2 linked regions of the Anolis sagrei genome follow. The protein of the gene in region 1 binds, or shares a complex with, the protein of each later gene. Links are inferred from orthologs where the notes say so. Each region holds a gene or a part of one and is shown on either strand. Other genes may lie near its edges.

Region 1 (10,091 bases):
AGACTCTGCTGACAAAAATGAAAACAAGCCACAAGATTCAAATAGTGACCTCATCAAAGCTGATCAAATATAGTAGTCATGAGAGAAGACATTATATTTTGGACCAGTAACTGGTTATACAAAACACAGGGAGTAAGAATACATGGACACATCTTGCAATGATATACTACAAAAATCAGATTTCCCGTAGGCCAGTACTTTTTTTTTTTTTGTCATGTGAGGAGCGACTTGAGAAACTGCAAGTTGTTTCTGGTGTGAGAGAATTGGCCGTCTGCAAGGACGTTGCCCAGGGGACGCCAGGGCAGTACTGAAATTGGCTTTTGCTATCATGTTAAAAAATGCAGTGGAAATAAGGCTAAGAAATGAGATGGTAAAGCTGACTAAATCAAAATTGTTTAAGCAAATTGAAACAAATGAAATTACAAAGTTCCAAACTAGGGAAATGGGTACTAAAATAGCAAAGGCAATTCATTCTAAACAAATGTAAGGTGATACTGAAAGACACACATGCTCAATTCTAATATCACATATACAGTGAAAGGAAATGACTTCGCAATGAAAGTGAATTGCTAGGAAAATTATGATGGTATATTGCTCAATGCATATGTTTAAGCAAAAGGAATTCCTGTATGGTGGGATCTGTTTGGGAAAAAAACTGAAGCCACAAATATCAATCTTTTGTACAGTTCTATGCTGCTTCAACGCCTATAATAAGCTACTGAATTTGGGTCATCATATCTTAAGACATACAGGTGAGTTCAATTTACATTACTCACAACCAGAATGCATAGCTCTCTCAGCACACCTGAGAAGTGGAGTGAAACAGAGGTGAGTGTGTGAGAAAGGTGAGTTGAGCTGAGATGCAGCTTTGCCATAAAGCGACTGGACAGTGTTACCTTCCTAAGCTGGAGGAATGGGAAAAGTAACTGCAGTCTTGTTATCACTGAATGAAAGGGTTACAATAGGAAAAAGTACACTTTGCTAGTGGGTAACAGTATCAACAGTCACTTGTGGTGAGATAACTGAAATGGCCATCTTTGTTGTTACCCAGTTCCTTACGTCAGTTACAATAAAAGTCTAGGAGACCAACTTTAACACAAACTGAAACTCCTCTGTGTATTGCAGAGCAGATGAAAACATAGAAAATAGCCAGCCAATAGCTAGTGACCTGAGGAAGCCTCACTATAAGTCAACGTAATATTTTAGCTTAGAAAATAGCAAGAGAAAATAATAAAGGTATGTAAAACTATGTATGAAACAGCATCAACTTCCCAAAACCGGGAAGGGGGATTTCGAGCTAAAACAGTTTGTCAAACAATTATCTCAACAAATTCTGGTAATACTAGTGACTCACATGTTTTGGAAACTCTGATGGGGAATTAGATGGCTCTTCAGAAACAAAATACTGTAATCTATTGTAAAACAGAACACAAAATAATACAATATCACTATATTTTCTCATCCAGATTTTACACTGAAATTGAAAACATGGATGTAGTACTGAACACCTTTACTAGCCATTCAGCCTTACAGAACCCAGTAGACTTTATTGCAAACAAAAACATAGAACTTACTGAATTTACCCTCAGTAGTCATCTAATATTATTAAATACAAAAGTTAGGATGGACCATGTGAGACCTGAACAGGTCTGTTGACTTGAGGGAATGTCTCAACTGACCACTTAATATAGATTGAAGGCGGGATTGTCCCATGCACAGGGTTGCCAAAAGTAAAGTCAATTCTAGGATAGCTAGCAACCACCATATGGTCACATGTACACACAGAGATGACAGAGAATGTATATATTAAGACATAGTTGGAATCAAGGCAGCAACCAATACACCCCAATTTTATCTCTCTTGGTTTGTGGTTTTAAAAACCAAAACAGGCAACTCCTAGTAACATCTAAAGTACACACACCCGCAGCAATGGAAAAGACATCACGTCACGCAGAAAAACCAACAACTTCCTTCTCCCACCTTTCAGCAAACATCCTGTAACAAAACTGAAAATGGATGCCTCCTCCTCCTCCATTTGTGACTCCTCTGAGGAATCAAAGCCTCTCAGTGCTTCTCTCCCCCACCAACCAAGAACCTATTTCAAGGAAAAAGGGAACTGGCAAAGCTTTTGCTTGCCTCTCCTCCTTCCCTCCCTGCTCAATCTGGGCCTCTGTCCCAAGTAGGAGGAGGAGGGGGGAGAAGGAGAAAGGAGGGAGTGAAGAAGGGGAATGAGAAAGCAGAGGAAGAGAGAGAGGAAGAGGGGGGGGGGAAGAAAAGAAGGGTGGAAGAGCAGGAGAAGGGAAAAAGAGGAAAACTTATGAAAATTTGAGAGAGAATGGGGAGGAAGAGGAGGAAGAAGAGAAGGAGAAAGAGGCTGGAAAGAAAGGAGGACAGATGAAAGTGAGAAAGGAAGAGGAGTACGAGGAGGAACAAAATGAGAGAGAAAGGGAGGAAGGGAGAAGGAGAAAGTAAGAGAAAGAAGAGGTGAAGGAGGAGAAAGAGGAGGGGAGAAAATTAGGATGGGGATATGAGGAGGAAGAAGAAATGGAGGAAGGGGGAGAGGAAGAGAAAGAAGTGGGGAAGGAGGAGAAAGAGAAGGAGAAAGAGGAGGTGGAGAAGAACGAGAACAGATGAAAATTAGAGAGGGGGAGTACGAGGAAGAGAAGGAGAAAGGAGGAGGAAGGGGCAGAGGAAGAGAAAGAACAGGAGGAGGAGGAGAAAGAGAAGGGGGAGAAGAAGGAGGACATGTGAAAATTAGAGAAGGGGAGTACAAGGAGGGGCAGGAAGAGAAAGAAGAGGGGAAGGAGGAGAAAGAGAAGGAGAAAGAGGAGAGGGAGAAGAAGGAGGACAGATGAAAATTAGAGAGGGAGAGTACAAGGAGCAAGAGGAGGAGAAAGGAGGGAGAGAAGGAGAAAGAATGAGAAAGAAGAGAAGGGGGAAGAAGAGAAAGAGGGAAGGAAAAGGAAGAGGAGAAAGAGGCAGAGAAGGAGGAGGGCAGATGAAAATTGGAGAGGAGTAGTACAGGAGGAAGGGAAGGAGAAAGAGGAGGGGGAGAAGCAGGAGGACAGATGAAAATTAGAAAAGAGAGGGAGTAGGAGGAGGAAGAGAAAAAAGAAGACGAGAGAGAGAGAGAAGGAGAAAGAAGCAGAGGTGAAGAAAAGATGAAAATTAAGAAAGAGAGGAGTACGAGGAGGAAGAGAAGAAAGAAGAGGAGAGAGAGAGGAGAAAGAAGAAGAGGTGGAGAAGAACAGATGAATATTAGAGAGAAGGGGGAGTACGAGGAGCAGCAAGAGGAGAAAGAAGAGGAGGGGAGGGAGAGGATGGAGTAGGAAGAGGGCGGGGGAGGTGAGTAAACCCCTCTCGCTGCCAAACGTCTTGTGTGTGTGTGTGTGTTGGGGAGGGGGCTTCAGGCGCTCTCCCTTTCTCTCCCAGACTCAGACGACCCTCCCCTTCTCTTCAGACACGTCTCGCCTCAGACCGAGACAAGGAGCAACAGCAGCCATACAAATCAAGGGGTGCCCACACACAAACACACACACTTTTCTTCCTCAGGTGACAAACAATCCCCACAAAATCACAAATGTGCGGGCTACGGAGGCGTCGCTTCTATTTGAGGAGGGTCCGAGGAACTAGGCCTCCTTTTCTGAGGGAGAAAGAAGGCGCCTCTCCCACCCCAACCCCACGGCCCTTGATCCACCCCAGGCCCCGGCCTCCCTCCCTCTCTCCCTCTCACACAAACACGGTTTTTGCTTCAAGTCGTTCTCACCGAGCGGCCTTGGCGACGACTCCTCTCCTCAGCCCGTTAGGCGACGACTCGAAGGCGGAGGTGCTTCCAGGAGGAACTGCCAGGGAGGGAGGGAGATAGGGAGGGAGAGACCTCCGCGCATGCGCAGACGCCTGCCCCCGGGAAGGCTCGTGACCGTGGGTGAAGGGACAGAAGGGAAAGCGCGGGAGGAGTCAAGGCTGGCTGGTGGGAGCCGCCTCCACTCTCTTTCTGAGAAGGGCTGGGAAACTTCTGTTCATATAATCCTTAAGTTGGAAGAGACCACAAGGGCCTCTGTACTATTGATCAGGTATGGGCAAGCTGGGGTAAAAAATGCTGCAAGAAACATTAACAACCTTAGATATGCAGATGATACCACTTTGATGATACCACTTGGTGGTATGGGCATACCAAATCACCTTGTCTTTTTCTTGAGGCAGACATGTAGCGGGGGGGGGGGGGCTTGAGGGGCTTCAGCCCCCCCCCCCCCCCCCGAAATTCTCATGGTGGTTCACGAAAAGTATGATATCTGGGATCCAATGCTGGTTGCATGTCACGGGTCAGAATTAGAGAAGCGAAGATATAACATATTTGAATGTGTTTGCATATGATATCCGGATAGCCTTAAGCACTATGCTCGGCTGTCCGTTCCCCCCCTTTCTGCCCCCGTTTCTGCCCTCCCCCCTTTCTGGCAAGCTATCTTGCCACGACTCTGTCACACCTGCATCTCTCACTTGCTGCGCTGTCTCAGCATTGGGTTCCAGCTATCATAGTTTCGCCCAGTTCCCAACAACTCAGCAAAGGTGATGGGTGTTCCACCCCAGGGAAAAAAAACAACATGGAGAGGGCCATGTGCTGAACTGAAACCAGGGAGCCTTTCTCATTAGGGCACATCTACACTGTAGAAATAATGCAGTTTGATGGCACTTTAACTGCCATGACTTGATGCTATGGAATCACATGAGTTGTAGTTTTACAAGGCCTTGAGCCTCCTCTGCCAAAGAGTGGTGGTACCTCGCCAAACTACAACTCTGAGATTTCCCATCACTTTTCTAATGAGTTTCAACATGGTATTGACCAGGCATGGGCAAACTTGGGCCCTCCAGGTGTTTTGGACTTCAACTCCCAGAATTCCTAACAGCTTCAGGCCCTTTCCTTTTCACTTAAGTGGCTGATGGGGGAAAGGGGCTGTTAGGAATTCTGGGAGTTGAAGTCCAAAACACCTAGAGGGCCTGTATTGACCATCACAGTATCTCTGATCAACATTTTTTGTTGAGGTAGTCATCACATTTCCTGAATTGTTTTGTTTTGGTTTTGTTTTGTTTGGGGTTTTTTTTGCCCCAGTGAGTCATTTTACTCCTTGTTTCCCCAGTTTGAAAAAGTAACCTGCAATCTAGTTTTGTTTTAACAGCTAATGATTTTGCATTATCAGCAAATCTCGGCACTTCACTATTCACCCCTCATTAACCAGTTAAAAACAGATTTTTTAAAAATTGTAAAATCTTGAGTGTGCATAATAACTGTTCAGCGATGGCTTTTTCATATATGCAGGTTGTCACTTGATTTCTGCTACAGGAATGTATGAACTAGTTCCATATATTAAATTGGGTTACTCTTTTTTTTCCATCAAGGTACATTTATATGAGAGGGAACTTCAAAGCAATGTGGTTCTTTGATCACATTTTATAATATTTTGAAGAACATTTACCTCTGAAAGTTTGCTGAAGAGGAAAATACTATAATGTGTTTGTATTCACTTCTCCCAACTTGTCTCATGACAAACAGCTGTGTTCCTCATATTTTGTTTACTGTGAAAAACAGTTGAGTTCTGGTGTCTAAGCAGCTGATTTCTTGGTGTTGCAGATTTTCAGCAAACCCCACAGTTGATTCAAATTGATTTGCACAACGCAGCCCTGTTTAAGAAAAATTAAATCTTCACAGTTTTTTTTTCAGATATGAGGCACATTATTTCACAATCGCATCATGGCATGTCTGTTATTGAATTATAGAATGATTCAGAGGCCCCATCTACACTGACCAGATAGTAGAGTTTAATTGCACTGAACTGCATTATATGGTAGTGTAGACTCATATAATGCTGTTCAATGCAATTAAACTGTTTTATGAAACCACTATATTGTCGATGATGATGATGATGATTGGAACTTATGTCACAAGTACCACCTGCCAGTAGTAAAGATTTCTTGGAAATTCCCAGTGTCAAGACCTTGCGTCTAACAGCAACCAGACGCAGAGCCTTTACTGCAGTGACACCATCACATTGGAATACTCTGCCAACTGAAGTCCGTGCCTTGCGGGACTTATCAGCTTTCCGCAGGGCATGTAAGACATATCTGTTTCGACGGGCCTTTGATCTTTGATTGCTGTTTTTAAATTGTTTTAAATTGTTTTTAAATTGTGTTCAATTTTAGCCTGTTCTTGTAAGCCGCTCCGAGCCCCAGGGGAGTGGCGGCATATACGTTCAAATAATAAAATAAATAAATAAATAATTGGTGGGATCATAAACCTGCAAAGGTCGTGGAAAATGAGCACGCAAAAATACTGAGGGACTTCTGAATCCAAACTGACAAAGTTTTGGAACACAATATGCCAGACATCATGACTGTGGAAAAGAAAAAAGTTTGGATTATTGATGTTGCCACACCAGGTGACAGTCGCATTGAGGAGAAACAACAAGAAAAACTCAGCCATTATCAGGACCTCAAAATCGAACTGCAAAGGCTCTGGCATAGACCAGTACAGGTGGTCCCAGTGGTGATCGGCACACTGGGTGCCGTGCCAAAAGATCTCAGCTGGCATTTGGAAACAATAAACATTGACAAAATGACGATCTGTCAGCTGCAAAAGGCCACCTTACTTGGATCTACACGCATCATTTGAAAACACATCACACAGTCCTAGGCGCTTGGAAAGTGTTTGACTTGTGATTTTGTGATACGACTTCCAGCATATATCTCTCGTTGGTTGTGACATACTGTGTTTTTGTATCAATAATAATAATTAATTATTTGTATCCCACTTTAATCCTTAAACAGGATCCAAAGTGGCTCACAACATTATGTTAAAGCAATACGAAACAATATACATACGTAAAACAAAACTTCTAAAAACAATTTACAATAAAGATAAGTAAACATATTTAAAAACATTTATCCAATACAGTTATTACAGGTAACTCAATAGAAAGATGATAAACGTAGGACAGCTCAATAAAAGTTTACCTTCCTGTCATTACAGCTAAGTATCTTCATCAAAGGCTTCTAGACGGGGCCTGACAGTGAATTAACAATGCAGTTTGACACCACTTTAGCGCCCATGGCTCTATGCTAGGCAGGCATGTAGCCGGGGGGGGGGGGCTATGGGGGCTTCAGCCCCCCCCCCCCCGAAATTCTCATGGTGGTCCGCGAGAAGGCCTTACTGGTACATTATTTAAACTGTTATGTTTATTAATATCATGATCTGATCATCATTCTCAATATTCTCAACTAGTCCAACGCTCGGCAGCCATGATTTTAACAGGAGCGGAGCGCAGGGAGCATACAACCCCCCAGTTGCGCCAACTCCACTGGCTACCGATCTGCTACCGGGCTGAATTCAAAGTGCTGGCGTTGGCCTTTAAAGCCCTAAACGGTTCCGGCCCTAGCTACCTATCTGACCGCATCTCTGCCTATGAACCCACGAGGAGTTTGAGATCTTCCGGGGAGACCCTGCTCTCGATCCCGCCTGCTTCTCAAGCTCGGCTGGCGGGGACGAGAGATAGGGCCTTCTCGGTGGTGGCTCCTCGGCTGTGGAACGCCCTTCCTACGGACATTAGACTAGCACCATCTCTAATGGTATTCCGCAAAAAGGTGAAGACCTGGATGTTTGTGCAGGCATTTGAGTAATTTAGTGCAATCTGGTAATTGGAACATAGGAATGGAACAATGGACGACGAACCTGGACTACGCTTGGATGATGAGAAGATTGGGTACGGTTGTTTTTTGTAATAATTGTGCATTGTAATTGCTTATTGGTAATTTATGGATAATGTGTTAAGTCAATTGTTATATGTTGTATGGAACCACTGCTGTTTCTACTGTTTTTACTGTTTGTGAACCGCCGTGAGTCGCCTTCGGGCTTGAGATATAGCGGTATATAAGCAAAGTAAATAAATAAATAAATAAATAAATATATCCCAGATGTATGGGGGTATTGGAGTAACAATACAAAAGGTTTGCTAGGGTAGACCCTCTTTCACCCAGAACCCCCCCCCCCCCCCGAATCAAAATCCTGGCTACGGGCCTGATGCTAGGGAATCATAGGAGTTGTAGTTTAGTGAGGTACCAACAGTCTTTCACAGATTAAACACCCTGTAAAACTACAACTTTTAGGATTACATAGCATTTAAGACATGGCAGTTAAAGTGGTGCCAAACTATTCATTTGACAGTGTAGATTCAACTTAAGGCTCCTTGTTGTTTTGTGGGACACTGGCGATCTGCACAGGCACATTTGTGTTATGATTTAGATGTTCTTTAGTTTTAGAATTGTTTAATCATATGTTCATAGATTTTAATTTGATGCAGTTTGCATCTTTTCTTTTTCCTGTGCAGTTCTAAATCTAGTCTCCTTTGTTTATGAAGCCTTCTTAATTTCAGTCCCTATTCTTTATTAATGTATTCTATTTCATAATTGATACCTCTGGAGACTTTGCAGGTTGTGAGGAAACCACATTTGAACTCTTTTACCTGCTCAAAAGTGAATTCAAGGCATGTCAAGATGTCTTTGAAGGAAAAGGAGGAGTTTAAGTAATTCCAAAATTTGAGCTTCAAAAATATTTATTCTTCACTTTTAGTTGCATACTTATTAACTCAGTGTAAGGAATTAAATGGGTAACAGCAGTAATGATGCTATGGGGAATGAAGAGTAAATAATCTCATCCAAATTTATCAGATGGCTCAGTCTAATTGCCAGACATGAGAGAAGCCTCCTCACAGGATTGCAAGACATCTGGGCGTCCCCTGGGCAACATCTTCGTAGACGGCTGATTCTCTCACTCCAGAATGTGTTTTTGTGTTTTGTCTGTTTGTTCTGTTCTGTTAGAAATGTAATATAATTGTCTGGTTGCCCCTGACACGATAAATAAAATAAATATTGCCAGACTGTATCTTCCAACATCCTTACTCCTTTGATAGTCAAGCTGGGGATGATGGGAGCTGCAGCCCAACAAAAGGGCCAAGCCATCTGACCAGTTAAGAGGATAATGACAAGTTGCACCCTACCCAGACCTGGAGCTGATGGAAATTGTAGCCTGATAAAGTAGGGCTGATGGGAGTTGTAGCTGGCCCGATGTGGGGCTGATGGGAATGCTCAGAACTAACCACAAAAGGGCAGTAAAGCCTTGCCATAGAAACCAAAATCAATGTGTAGTCAGTGCTTGAGGGACAAAGAAAGAACTGCTTTTTCTGCATGGTGAAAAATTATGTTTTTTTAATCAGATTAGGTGGTTGTGAAATGCCTACAACCCCCCCCCCCCCCACACACACACACACACAGTGGACAAGTCTTTCCAAAGGCAGAGAAAGTACAATTCCTGTGAGCATGACAACTTAAGAATGAGTGGGAAATAGCCAGCTGTGATCCCAAGAGATTACTAGAGCAGGTATGGGTAAACCTAGGTCCAGGGGCCGGATGTGGCCCCTTGGGCTCTTTTCCCAGCCCTCCTCTCTCCCACCATCCTATCCTTCCCTCCCTCCCTCCCTTACCTTCCTCTTTCTGCCTCCCTTCCACCCTTCCACCCTTTTGTCTTTCCTTCCCTCTTTCCTTCCTCCTTCCCTCTCTCTCTTTCTCCTTTCTTCCTTTCCCCCTTTGTATTTCCTTTTGTCCCCCTTCCCTCCTCCATTATCTTCCACCCTTCCTTCCTCCCTCCCTCCTTCCTTCCTGTTCTTCCTCCCTTCTCTTTTTCTTTAATTCTTCCTGGGGGATGTTTAGCTGAGAGAAGAAAAAGTAGAGAAGAAACATGAAGACCATGTTTCAAGATTTAAAAGAGTATCCCATTGAGGAGGGACGGGGGGGAAACTGACTTTCTGCTGCTGTAGAGACCAGGGCACAAGGGAGCAATGGTTTCAAATGGCAGAGAAAGAGATTCAACTGAAAATATTATGAAGAATTTCCTGAGAGTAAGAGCTGTTGTAGAGTGGCATAGGCTGCCTCGGAGTGTGGTGGAATCTCCTCTGGAGGCTTTTCCGCAAAGGCTGTCTATTGGGAGTGCTTTGATTGTGCCTTCTTGCATGGCAGAGGGTTGGAATGGATGGCCCTTGGGGATCGCT
Region 2 (9,948 bases), about 170 Mb from region 1:
GGAGGTAAGAGTGAATGTTGCAAATGGCCACTTTTATTAGAATTGAATGGCCTTGCAGCTTCAAAGCCTGGCTGCTTCCTGCTTTGTTGGGAGGTGTTAGCTGTCCCCAATTTATTCTTGTCTGGAATTCCCCTGCTTTTTGAGTGTGGCTCTTTATTTACTGTCCTGATTTTGGAGTTTTTTGAAATACTGTTAGCCAGATTTTGTTCATTTTCATCATTTACTCCTTTCTGTTGAAATTGTCCACATGCTTGTGGATTTTAGTGGCTTCTCTGTGTAGTCTGAGTAAAGTAAATTTGGACTGGCAAGAAAGCAACGCAGGCCCAATCTATGCTGCCATCTAAAACGCAGATTCAAACTGTATTATATGGTCAGTGTGGGCTCATATAATGAAGTTTAACTGCATGGAATTGTTGGCAATGCAGAAGGGGCCATAGGCAGATGTGAAAGGAGCCAAGGAGAGGAGGCCTTAAATGTCAAGCCTTCCCCCTCTTGCACAAACCCTTTTGCTCAAATTCCACACTTCCGAACTCAAGGAGGAGACAGAAGGCTCTTATTAAAGCTTCTGGGACATCAAAACAATCTCTGGGGTAGACTTTTTCTTGACTTTCTCCCATTCTACAGCTAGGATAACCCCTCCTGCCAGCATTTTTCAAATAAATAAGCCTGAAAGCAGTGGGATTTCAAAGTTTCCCACCCCTCCTGGCTCTCTGTAGGCTTTAGATCAGTGTTACTCAACCCGAGAGTCGCGACCCCTGGGGTGGTCACAAGGGTGTGTCAGGAGTCGCCAAAGACCATCAGAAAACACAGTATTTCCTTTGGTCATGGGGATTCTGTGTGCCAAGTTTGGTTCAATTCCATCATTGGTGGGGTTCACAATGCTCTTTGATTGTAGGTGAACTATAAATCCAAGCAACTACAACACCCAAATGACAAAATCAATACACCCCCCACCCAATTCCACCCATATTGAAATTTAGACGTATTGGGTATATGTGCCAAATTTGGTCCAGTAAATGAAAATACATCCTGCATCTCAGATATTTACATCACGATTCATAACAGTAGCAAAATTACAGTTATGAAGTAGCAACAAAAATAATGGTTGAGGGTCACCACAACATGAGGAACTGTATTAAGGGGTTGTGGCATTAGGAAGGTTGAGAACCACTGCTTTAGATCAACAACACATTGCAAGGCAAGACTGTTGGGCTTGGTCAAAGGTCGCCAGGCAAAGGGTGTTTACCACCGAAAGCCCTACCTGTACAAACAACTGAAAGGTGTGCGAGGAGGAGAGGAGGCTTGGCAGGGAAGCAAGAGAAGGGAAGGCAGCGGGAATCTCTGAGTTGTTGTAGGTATTTTGAGCTGAATGGCCATGTTCCAGAAGCATTATCTCCTGACTTTTCGCCTGCATCTATGGCAGGTATCCTCAGAGGTTGTGAGGTCTGTTGGAAGCTGGGCAAGTGGGGTTTATATATCTGTGAAATGTCCAGGGTGGGCGAAAAAACTCTTGTCTCTTTAAGAGAGGTGTGAATGTTGCAATTGACCACCTTGATTAGCATTGAATGGCCTTGCAAGCTTCAAAGCCTGGCTGGTGGCTGCCTGGAGAAATCCTTTGTTGGGAGGCATTAGCTGGCCCTGATTTATTCTTGCCTGAATGTCAGTGGGAGTGGCTGTCAACTTATCAGATTTCTGTATTAATTTGGCTTTGCTATATTTGCAGCTGTATTGGAGGAAAATATTTTGTTGTTGTTTTGTTTTTCTCAAACCTATTGACATTACCTATTGGGAACTGCTGATGAAAAAGTTCAACACAAATGTGCACTTACTGTGTGGTTGTAAGTTTTCCGGCTGTACAGCCATGTTCTAGAAGCATTCTCCCCTGATGTTTCGCCCACATCTATGGCAGGCATCCTCAGAGGTTGTGAGCTCTGTTGGAAACTAGGAAGATGGGGTTTTATATATCTTTGGAGTGTCCAGGGTGGGGGAAAGAACTCTTGTCTGCTTGAGGGAAGCGTGAATGTTGCAACTGGCCACCTTGATTAGCACTGAATGGCCTTTCAGCTTCAAAGCCTGGCTAGTTGATGCCTGGGGAAATTATTTGTTGGGAAAATGGGGTTTTATAGATCTGTGGAGTGTCCAGGGTGGGAAAAAGAACTGTTGTCTGCTCAAGGCAAGTGTGAATGTTGAAATTGGCCACCTTGATTAGCACTGAATGACCTTTCAGCTTCAAAGCCTGGCTGGTTGCTGCCTGGGGAATTATTTGTTCGGAAAATTGGGTTTTATAGATCTGTGGAGTGTCCAGGGTGGGAGAAAAAAAATTCTTGTCTGCTTGAGGCAAGTGTGAATGTTGCAATTGGCCACCTTGCTTAGTACTGGATGACCTTGCAGCTTCAAAACCTGGCTGGTTGCTGTTTGGGGGGAATTATTTGTTGGGAAAATGGGGTTTTATAGATCTGTGGAGTGTCCAGGGTGGGAGAAGGAACTCTTATCTGTTGGAGGTAAGTAGGAATGTTTCTTTCTCCCACCTGGACACTCCACAGGTATATAAATCCCCATCTTCCTAGTTTCCAACAGACCTCACAAGTGGGTTGTAGGTTTTTCGGGCTATATGGCCACGTGCCAGAAGCATTCTCTCCTGACGTTTCGCCTGCATCTATGGCAAGCATCTTCAGAGGTTGTGAGGTCTCACAACCTCTGAGGATGTCTGCCACAGGAGAGAATGCTTCTGGCACGTGGCCATACAGCCCGGAAAACACACAACAACCCAGAGTCACTCCATTCCAGACTTGAAAGGTTTGCAACGTGGGGTTTCCACGGCAAGGCTGTCTCCTGAGTGACGCGAGGGCATTGCAACAGAGGCAGCCTTGGGGTCAGCGGTTGGTTGGTTGGTTGGTTACTCATGGCGCAGCTATGAGCGGGAGGAAGTGCGGGCTCGAGAAGGCACGTTCCCGGGCCCCTTGCGTTGGAATTTGGGGACGTCAGGAGTCGGAAAGGGAGGGAGGGAGAGAGAGAGAAGGGGGAGGAAGGACACGAAGGCAAGGAAGGCTCGTTTGGGGCGAAAAGGGCGCTCCTCGGCGGCCAGGTCCAGCGGGGAAGAGTTCCCGACTCAAGTCGGGAAGGAGAGCCGAGGGAATCGAGGGAGGGAGGGAGGGAGGGAAGAAAGGAAGGAGAGCGAGCCCGGGGGGAGAGGAATGCGCCGGGCTTCCCGCGAGAGAGAGAGGGAGGAAGGCAGGGAGGCAGGAGCAGACCCTTCCAAGCCCTTCCCTCGCCCTCCCGCGGGGCCTGGCAGGACGGGGGAAGTGCTTGAGTGGGGACACGGGACTTCTCAATGTTATGGAATAGGAGAACGCGACCTCTTCTTCGCGACAGGCCTTAAAAGGCTGGACGAAGGGAGAAAGACAGGCGCACAGATTTGGGAGACTCTGCCCAAGTCCGCCCAAGAGAGTTCTTCCCAAAGTTCTGGCCAAGGAGGGCGAAGGCAGGATCCCCCTCCTCGCTGCCTTGGAAGGCCGCCCTCCAAAGGGATCCCAGGGCTCCCCGATCCCACCCCAGTTGCCCCTGCCTCGGGGACCCTCCAACTCACCGATTCCCCCGTGGTGGCTGAGACCAGGAGCAGCGCCAGGAGGAGCGAGGCGGCGAAGCGCAAGGGCTGCATGGCGATGGCGGAGGGAGAGAGAGAGAGAGAGAGAGAGAGAGAGAGAGAGAGAGAGACGGCGCGCGAGGAAAAGCAAACAGCCTGGGCAGCGCGGGCACGACGGTCCTGCCTTCGCCGCCGCGCAGCCTTCTTATAATGGAGGAGGAGGAGGAGGAAGAGGCGGAGGGGGAGGAGGCCCCGCGCGTGGCCTTCCCGCCGCCGCCCTCGAGGGGGCGCAGGCCGGCCCTTCGGAGGGCTCTTGCCTCCAAACACGGGCCTCGCGGGCCTGGGCAAACTTCGGCCCTCCAGGTGTTCTGGACTCCCAACTCCCGGCAATAGTATGATAGCTGGGTCAGAAGCGATGCCGCATCGCGCCTTCGGGAACGCAGTTTACGGAAGAGAGACTTAGCTAATGTAAACCAGGAGGGAGACAGATAATATAGAAGGAATGTAAGAGTTCTTTAATGGTGACACCCAAACCCATACCCTAAGCCTAAGCCTCACCCCTTACCCTAATCAAACCCAAACCCTTACGCTAACCCAAACCCTAAACCTTACCCAAACCCTTACCCTAACCCTTATGCTAACCCAAACCCTAAACCTTATCCAAACCCTTACCCTAACCCTAACCCTTACGCCTACGCTAACTCAAACCCTAACCCTAACCCTTATGCTAACCCAAACCCTAAACCTTATCCAAACCTTATCCAAACCCTTACCCTAACCCTAACCCTTACGCCTACTCAAACCCTAACCCTAACCCTTATGCTAACCCAAACCCTAAACCTTATCCAAACCCTTACCCTAACCCTTACCCCTACGCTAACTCAAACCCTAACCCAAACCCTAAACCTTACCCTAACCCTTACCTAAACCCTTACCCTAATCCAAACCCTAAACCTTATCCAAATCCTTACCCACCCCAAACCCTAAACCCAGGCATGTAGCTGGGGGCGGGGGGGTTGGGGGGCTTGAGGGGCTTCAGCCCCCCCCCCCCCAAATTCTTATGGTGGTTTGCGAAAAGGCCTTACTGGTGCATTATTTAAACTGTTATGTTTATTCATATCATGATCTGATCACCATACTCAATATATCCCATATGCATGGGGGTATTGGGGTAATGATACAAAAGGTTTGCTTTCACTCAGACTCAGCCCCCCCCCCCCAAATGAAATCCTGGCTACGGGCCTGCCTAAACCTTACCCTAACCCTTACCCTAACCCTACCCAAACCCTTACCCTAATCCTTACCCAAACCCTAAACCTTACCCAAACCCTTACCCTAACCCTTATGCAAACTCAAACCCTGAACCTTACCCAAACCCTTACCCTAACCCTTACCCTAACCCTTATGCAAACCCAAACCCTGAACCTTACCCAAACCCTTACCCTAACCCAAACCCTAAACCTTACCCAAGCCCTTACACTAACCCTTACCCAAACCCTTTCGCTAACCCAAACCCTAAACCTTACCCTAATCCTAAACCATACCCTAACTGTAACCCCAAATCCTAACCCAAACCCAAACCCTAAACTTTGCCCTAACCCTTACCATAAGCATCTCCTCCTTTCTATCCTTCCTTCGCTCTCCTCGTTCTCACTCCACCCCCTCTCTTCCCTTATTCACAGCCACCTTTGCGGCATCTCTGTAACACTTGGTGCTTCCGGACCGAGCTGTCATACTATCACCCAACTCCCACCATTCCTAACAGCCTCAGCCCCTCTAAAATTATAACATCAAATAAAGAACAACACTCCAACATAGAGGAACTCTAGACAAGAAACAACCAGGGACAGCTAATTACTTCTCAACAAAGGATTCCCCCAGGCAGTAACAAGCTATATCTAAAAACTGCCAGGCCATCAAATGCTAATCAAGGTGGCCAGTTGAAACATTCACGTCTACCTTCAACAGACAAGAGTTCTTTCTCCCACCCTGGACACTCCACAGATGTATAAATTCAATTTTCCTAGTTTCCAACAGACCTCACAACCTCTAAGGATGCCTGCCATAGATGCAGACAAAGCATCAGAAAAGAATGCTTCTAGAACATGGCCATATAGCCCAAAAAACCAACAACCCAGGCAGGCATCTTCGGAAGTTGTGAAGTCTGTTGGAAACTAGGAAAATGAGATTTATATATCTGCGGAAAGGAGTACGGCAGGGCTGTATATTCTCACCCAATCAATTCAATGTGTATTCAGAACACATTGTTGACGAATCCAAGGCTGGAGTTAAAATTGCTGGACAAAACATTAACAACCTTAGATATGCAACCTTAGATGGTACCACTTTGATGGCTGAAAGCGAGGAGGAGCTGAGGAGCCTTCTAAGCAAGGTGAAAGAAGAAAGTGCAAAAGCTGGGTTGCAGTTAAACATAAAAAACCCTCAAGATTATGGCAACTGGACTGATGGATAACTGGCAAATAGAGGGAGAAAATGTGGAGGCAAGACAGACTTTTATTTCTAGGTGCAAAGACTACTGCAGACGCAGATTGCAGACAGGAAATCAGAAGACGTTTACTTCTTGAGAGGAGAGCAATGACCAATAGTGAAGTGTAGAGACATCACACTGGCAGTGAAGATCCACATAATTAAAACAATGGTATTCCCTGTAGTAACCTATGGATGTGAGAGCTGGACCATAAGGAAGGCTGAGCAAAGGAAAATAGACACTTTTGAGCTGTAGTGCTGGAGGAAAATTCTGAGAGTGCCTTGGACCGCCAAAAGATCCAACCAGTCCATACTTCAGGAAATAAAGCTGACTGCTCATTGAAGGGAAGGATATTAGAGGCAAAGATGAAGTACTCTGGTCACATAGAGAAGACAGAAAAGCTTGGAGAAAACAATGATGCTGGGGAAAATGGAAGGAAAAAGGAAGAGGGGCTGATCAAGGGCAAGATGGAGTGAAGTGACTGGATTGACCTTGAAGGAGCTGAGGGTGGCGACGGCCAACCAGGAGCTCTGGCATGGGTTGGTCCATGAGGTCACGAAGAGTCAGAAGCAACTGAACAAATAAACAACAACAAGCTCAGTGTGGCCAGTGGTTAGATTCCCCGATTGGATTCATGGAGATTTTCCAGAGTGGTTCCTGGCTAGTGAAACCAGTGGAAGCTGTAGCATATATCATTATGCTACAATAGGGGAAGTTTTACCTGTTGACTTCTGCCAGCCTTCCTGCTGTCCCATCTGTCCTGTCCTCTGATTTGTTGAACACCAGGCCACCCACTCATGTCAAGACTTGACCATGTTATTGCTATTGCTCTTGGTTTTGACACCGGTTTTATATTTTGTATGTTGTAGTTGTTATTTTAATTTGCTGTTGATGACTCTGGTGTGCTATGTTTTAATTTCTGTTATCAGGGCTGCCCCGAGTCCCTTCGGGGAGATGGGGGCGGGGTATAAAAAATAAAGTTATTAAAGAGAGAGAAACAGAACCCATGTGCAAAGGGCAGCATTTGCTGCATTTGCATTTGCTGCAGGCCTCCTTATAAAATCATAGAGGAAGAGACCTCACAGGCCATCCAATCCAACCCCTGCCAAGAAGCAGGAAAATCACATTCAAAGCACCCCTCACAGATGGTTATCCAGCCTCTGTTTAAAAGCCTCCAAAGAAGGAGCCTCCACCACACTCAGGGGCAGAGAGTTCCACTGCTGAACAGCACTCACAGTTAGGAAGTTCTTCCTTGTGTTCAGGTGGCATCTCCTTTCCTGTAGTTTGAAGCCATTGTTCCATGTCCTAGTCTCCAGGGCAGCAGAAAACAAACTTGCTCTCTCCTCCCTATGACTTCCCCTCACGTCTTGATACATGGCCATCATCATGTCTCCCCTCAGCCTTCTCTTCTGCAGTCTAATCATGCCCAGCTCTTTCAGTTGGACCCCACAGGGCTTGTTCTCCAGACCCTTGATTGTTTTAGTCTCCCTCCTCTGGACCCATTCCCGCTTGTCAACATCTCCCTTCAGTTGTGGTGCCAAGAACTGGACACAGTGTGATTCCAGGTGTGGTCTGACCAAGGCAGAATAGAGGGTTAGCATGACTTCCCTGGATCTAGACACGTCTCGCAGGCCAAAATCCTATTGGCTTTTTTTTGCCACTGCATGACATTGTTGTCTCATTTTTTAACTTGTTGTACATGAGGACTCCAAGATCTATTTCACACGTACTGCTGCCGAGCCAGGCGCCCATTCTGTATCTTTGCATTTCATTTTTGTCTGCCTAAGAGGAGTATCTTGCATATGTCCCTGTTGAACTTCATCTTGTTAGTTTTGGCCCAAGGCAGCTGTCCTTTTGGGGCATCCTGTGCAAGTTATACTGTTTCAAGCTTGAAAGGGGAACAGACATATACCAGAAGTTCCCAGTTTGGGATTTGTACATAAGTGGCATCCCTGTGTTGTGATCTCTTTTAGGATATTTTAGGATGAATCCTTATAGCAATCTTAGCAATGAGAATAAGCCTAGAAAAAGAGTGGCTCCCTCCAGGGCCGAAGACCAGACTGTGACACAGATTCGAACTGAACTACTTGAAGTGGTGGTCCATGTAGCACTGCTGGTCACAAGCCTTCATCTGCTAGTCCTTGGAGAATTTCCAGAAAAGAACTGTAGCCAGTGGAGATAAATATCTCAGTCCCTGGCATATATGAGGAAGAAATGTTGGGTCAACACATCAGACTGCCTGTTATACTGGGAACCTGAGAAGCACCGGTTTAGACTCTCTGGGCTTTTCAGCATTACTTATAACAAGCTGGTTGTAACTCACAAGAGACACTTTCATGGTTTGGACAACCCACTGTGAACACATTGTAACACTGTTCCAAAGCCATGCTGTTTTCAGTCTAAGTTTTTGAAAAGACTATTGTTCCTTTTTCTAAGTGAGACTCTGACTACCATTTATTTATTTATTTATCTACTATATTTATACCCTGCCCTCTCTCACCCCGAAGGGGGCTCAGAGCCACTAAAAAGTTACACACAAACACACACACACACATATGTATATATATATATATATATATATATATATATATATATATATATACACACATACATATACATACATACAATATATTATATTAGCCTAGCACAATATTAGTATTATAAATTACTGAATTGTATCATACCACTATACTGCAATATTATTAGCAATATAATTATTATATTATTATATTGTATTATTATCAGTATTATAATGTCTTACATTCTAATATTAGGATCAATATTATATGTAAGGTAAAGGTAAAGGTAGTCCCCTGACATTAAGTCCAGTCATGTCTGACTCTGGGGTGTGGTGCTCATCTCCATTTCTAAGCCGAAGAGCCAGCATTGTCTGTAGACACCTCCAAGGTCATGTGGCCGGCATGACTGCATGGAGCGCCGTTATATGTACATACAATATATTATATTAGCATATCACAATATAGGTATTATATATTACTGTATTTTATTATACCACCATACTGCAATATTATTAGCAATATTAGTAATATAATTATTATATTGTATTGTATTATCAGTATTATAATGTATTACATTATAATATTAGGATCAATATTATATGCACATACAATATATTATATTATTAGCATCTCATAATATTAGTATTATATATTACTATATTGTACCATACCACTATACTGCAATAGTATTAGTAATATTACATGTAATATATAATTATAGTATTATATTGTATTATTATTATTTTGTATTAAATTCAATAGATTTTCTTCTTTCTACCTGGAAAAGTTACAAAAGACCAGGTGTATTGCCCACATACAAAGAAAACGGTGCTTTGGGGAGAATATTGCATGTAAGATAACACACTATTTAAAAAGTGAACATGCATACTTCCCCACATTTGTAGAAAAGTTGTTTTTACAAAATGACCTGCTCTTTAACATGTTTCTGAACAAGTATATCAGTGGTGCACTTTTGCAAGGCCAGGGTGCATAACCAATAAATTTCAATATTAAAACTCAAAAAAGTTGGGTGTGGAAACAAAGAAGTTGACAAACTGGTATGACAGTAGCAAGACGCTAAATCTCTGTCATATCACAGAGATTATCCTGTCACTGTCCCCAACCATATTCCTTGAAAAGTTGAATCTCACTAGGGAATTATTATGTTTTCTGAAGTACAAACTCCTTTGATTGGAAAGTATGGTTTCTTCACAAGCAAAGCCTCACAGGAAGTTGTGCGGATGGTGCATATCCAAATGAGTAACAAATGAAACCTTCAGGACAAAAGGCCGATTGTGCAGAAATGCTCCGACCTCTCTTCCTCTCCCCTCCTCTTTATTTCCATAAGCCTACCTTTT

The links. Proteins that work in one complex are often made in the same cells at the same time.
Region 2: the proteins of SDCBP (region 1) and SDC4 are in contact, whole or in part, in a crystal structure (PDB 8BLV), measured with the Homo sapiens proteins. The link is inferred for Anolis sagrei from reciprocal best matches to the Homo sapiens genes SDCBP and SDC4. Residues at the interface, in NP_001007068.1 of Homo sapiens: Gly207, His208, Val209, Gly210, Phe211, Ile212, Phe213, Lys214, Thr219, Val222, Asp251, Ser252, Ala255, Leu258; in NP_002990.2 of Homo sapiens: Thr193, Asn194, Glu195, Phe196, Tyr197, Ala198.

Annotation. Positions count from the first base shown.
Region 1 is NC_090024.1:48,694,570-48,704,660, forward strand, and holds the start of SDCBP (syntenin-1), read right to left. Parts: upstream 3,878-10,091; 5' UTR 3,767-3,877; intron 1,413-3,766; 5' UTR 1,355-1,412; intron 1-1,354. UniProt on the Homo sapiens protein: Multifunctional adapter protein involved in diverse array of functions including trafficking of transmembrane proteins, neuro and immunomodulation, exosome biogenesis, and tumorigenesis.
Region 2 is NC_090024.1:217,019,898-217,029,845, reverse strand, and holds the start of SDC4 (syndecan-4), read right to left. Parts: upstream 3,887-9,948; 5' UTR 3,715-3,886; intron 3,685-3,714; 5' UTR 3,659-3,684; coding exon 3,587-3,658; intron 1-3,586. UniProt on the Homo sapiens protein: Cell surface proteoglycan which regulates exosome biogenesis in concert with SDCBP and PDCD6IP.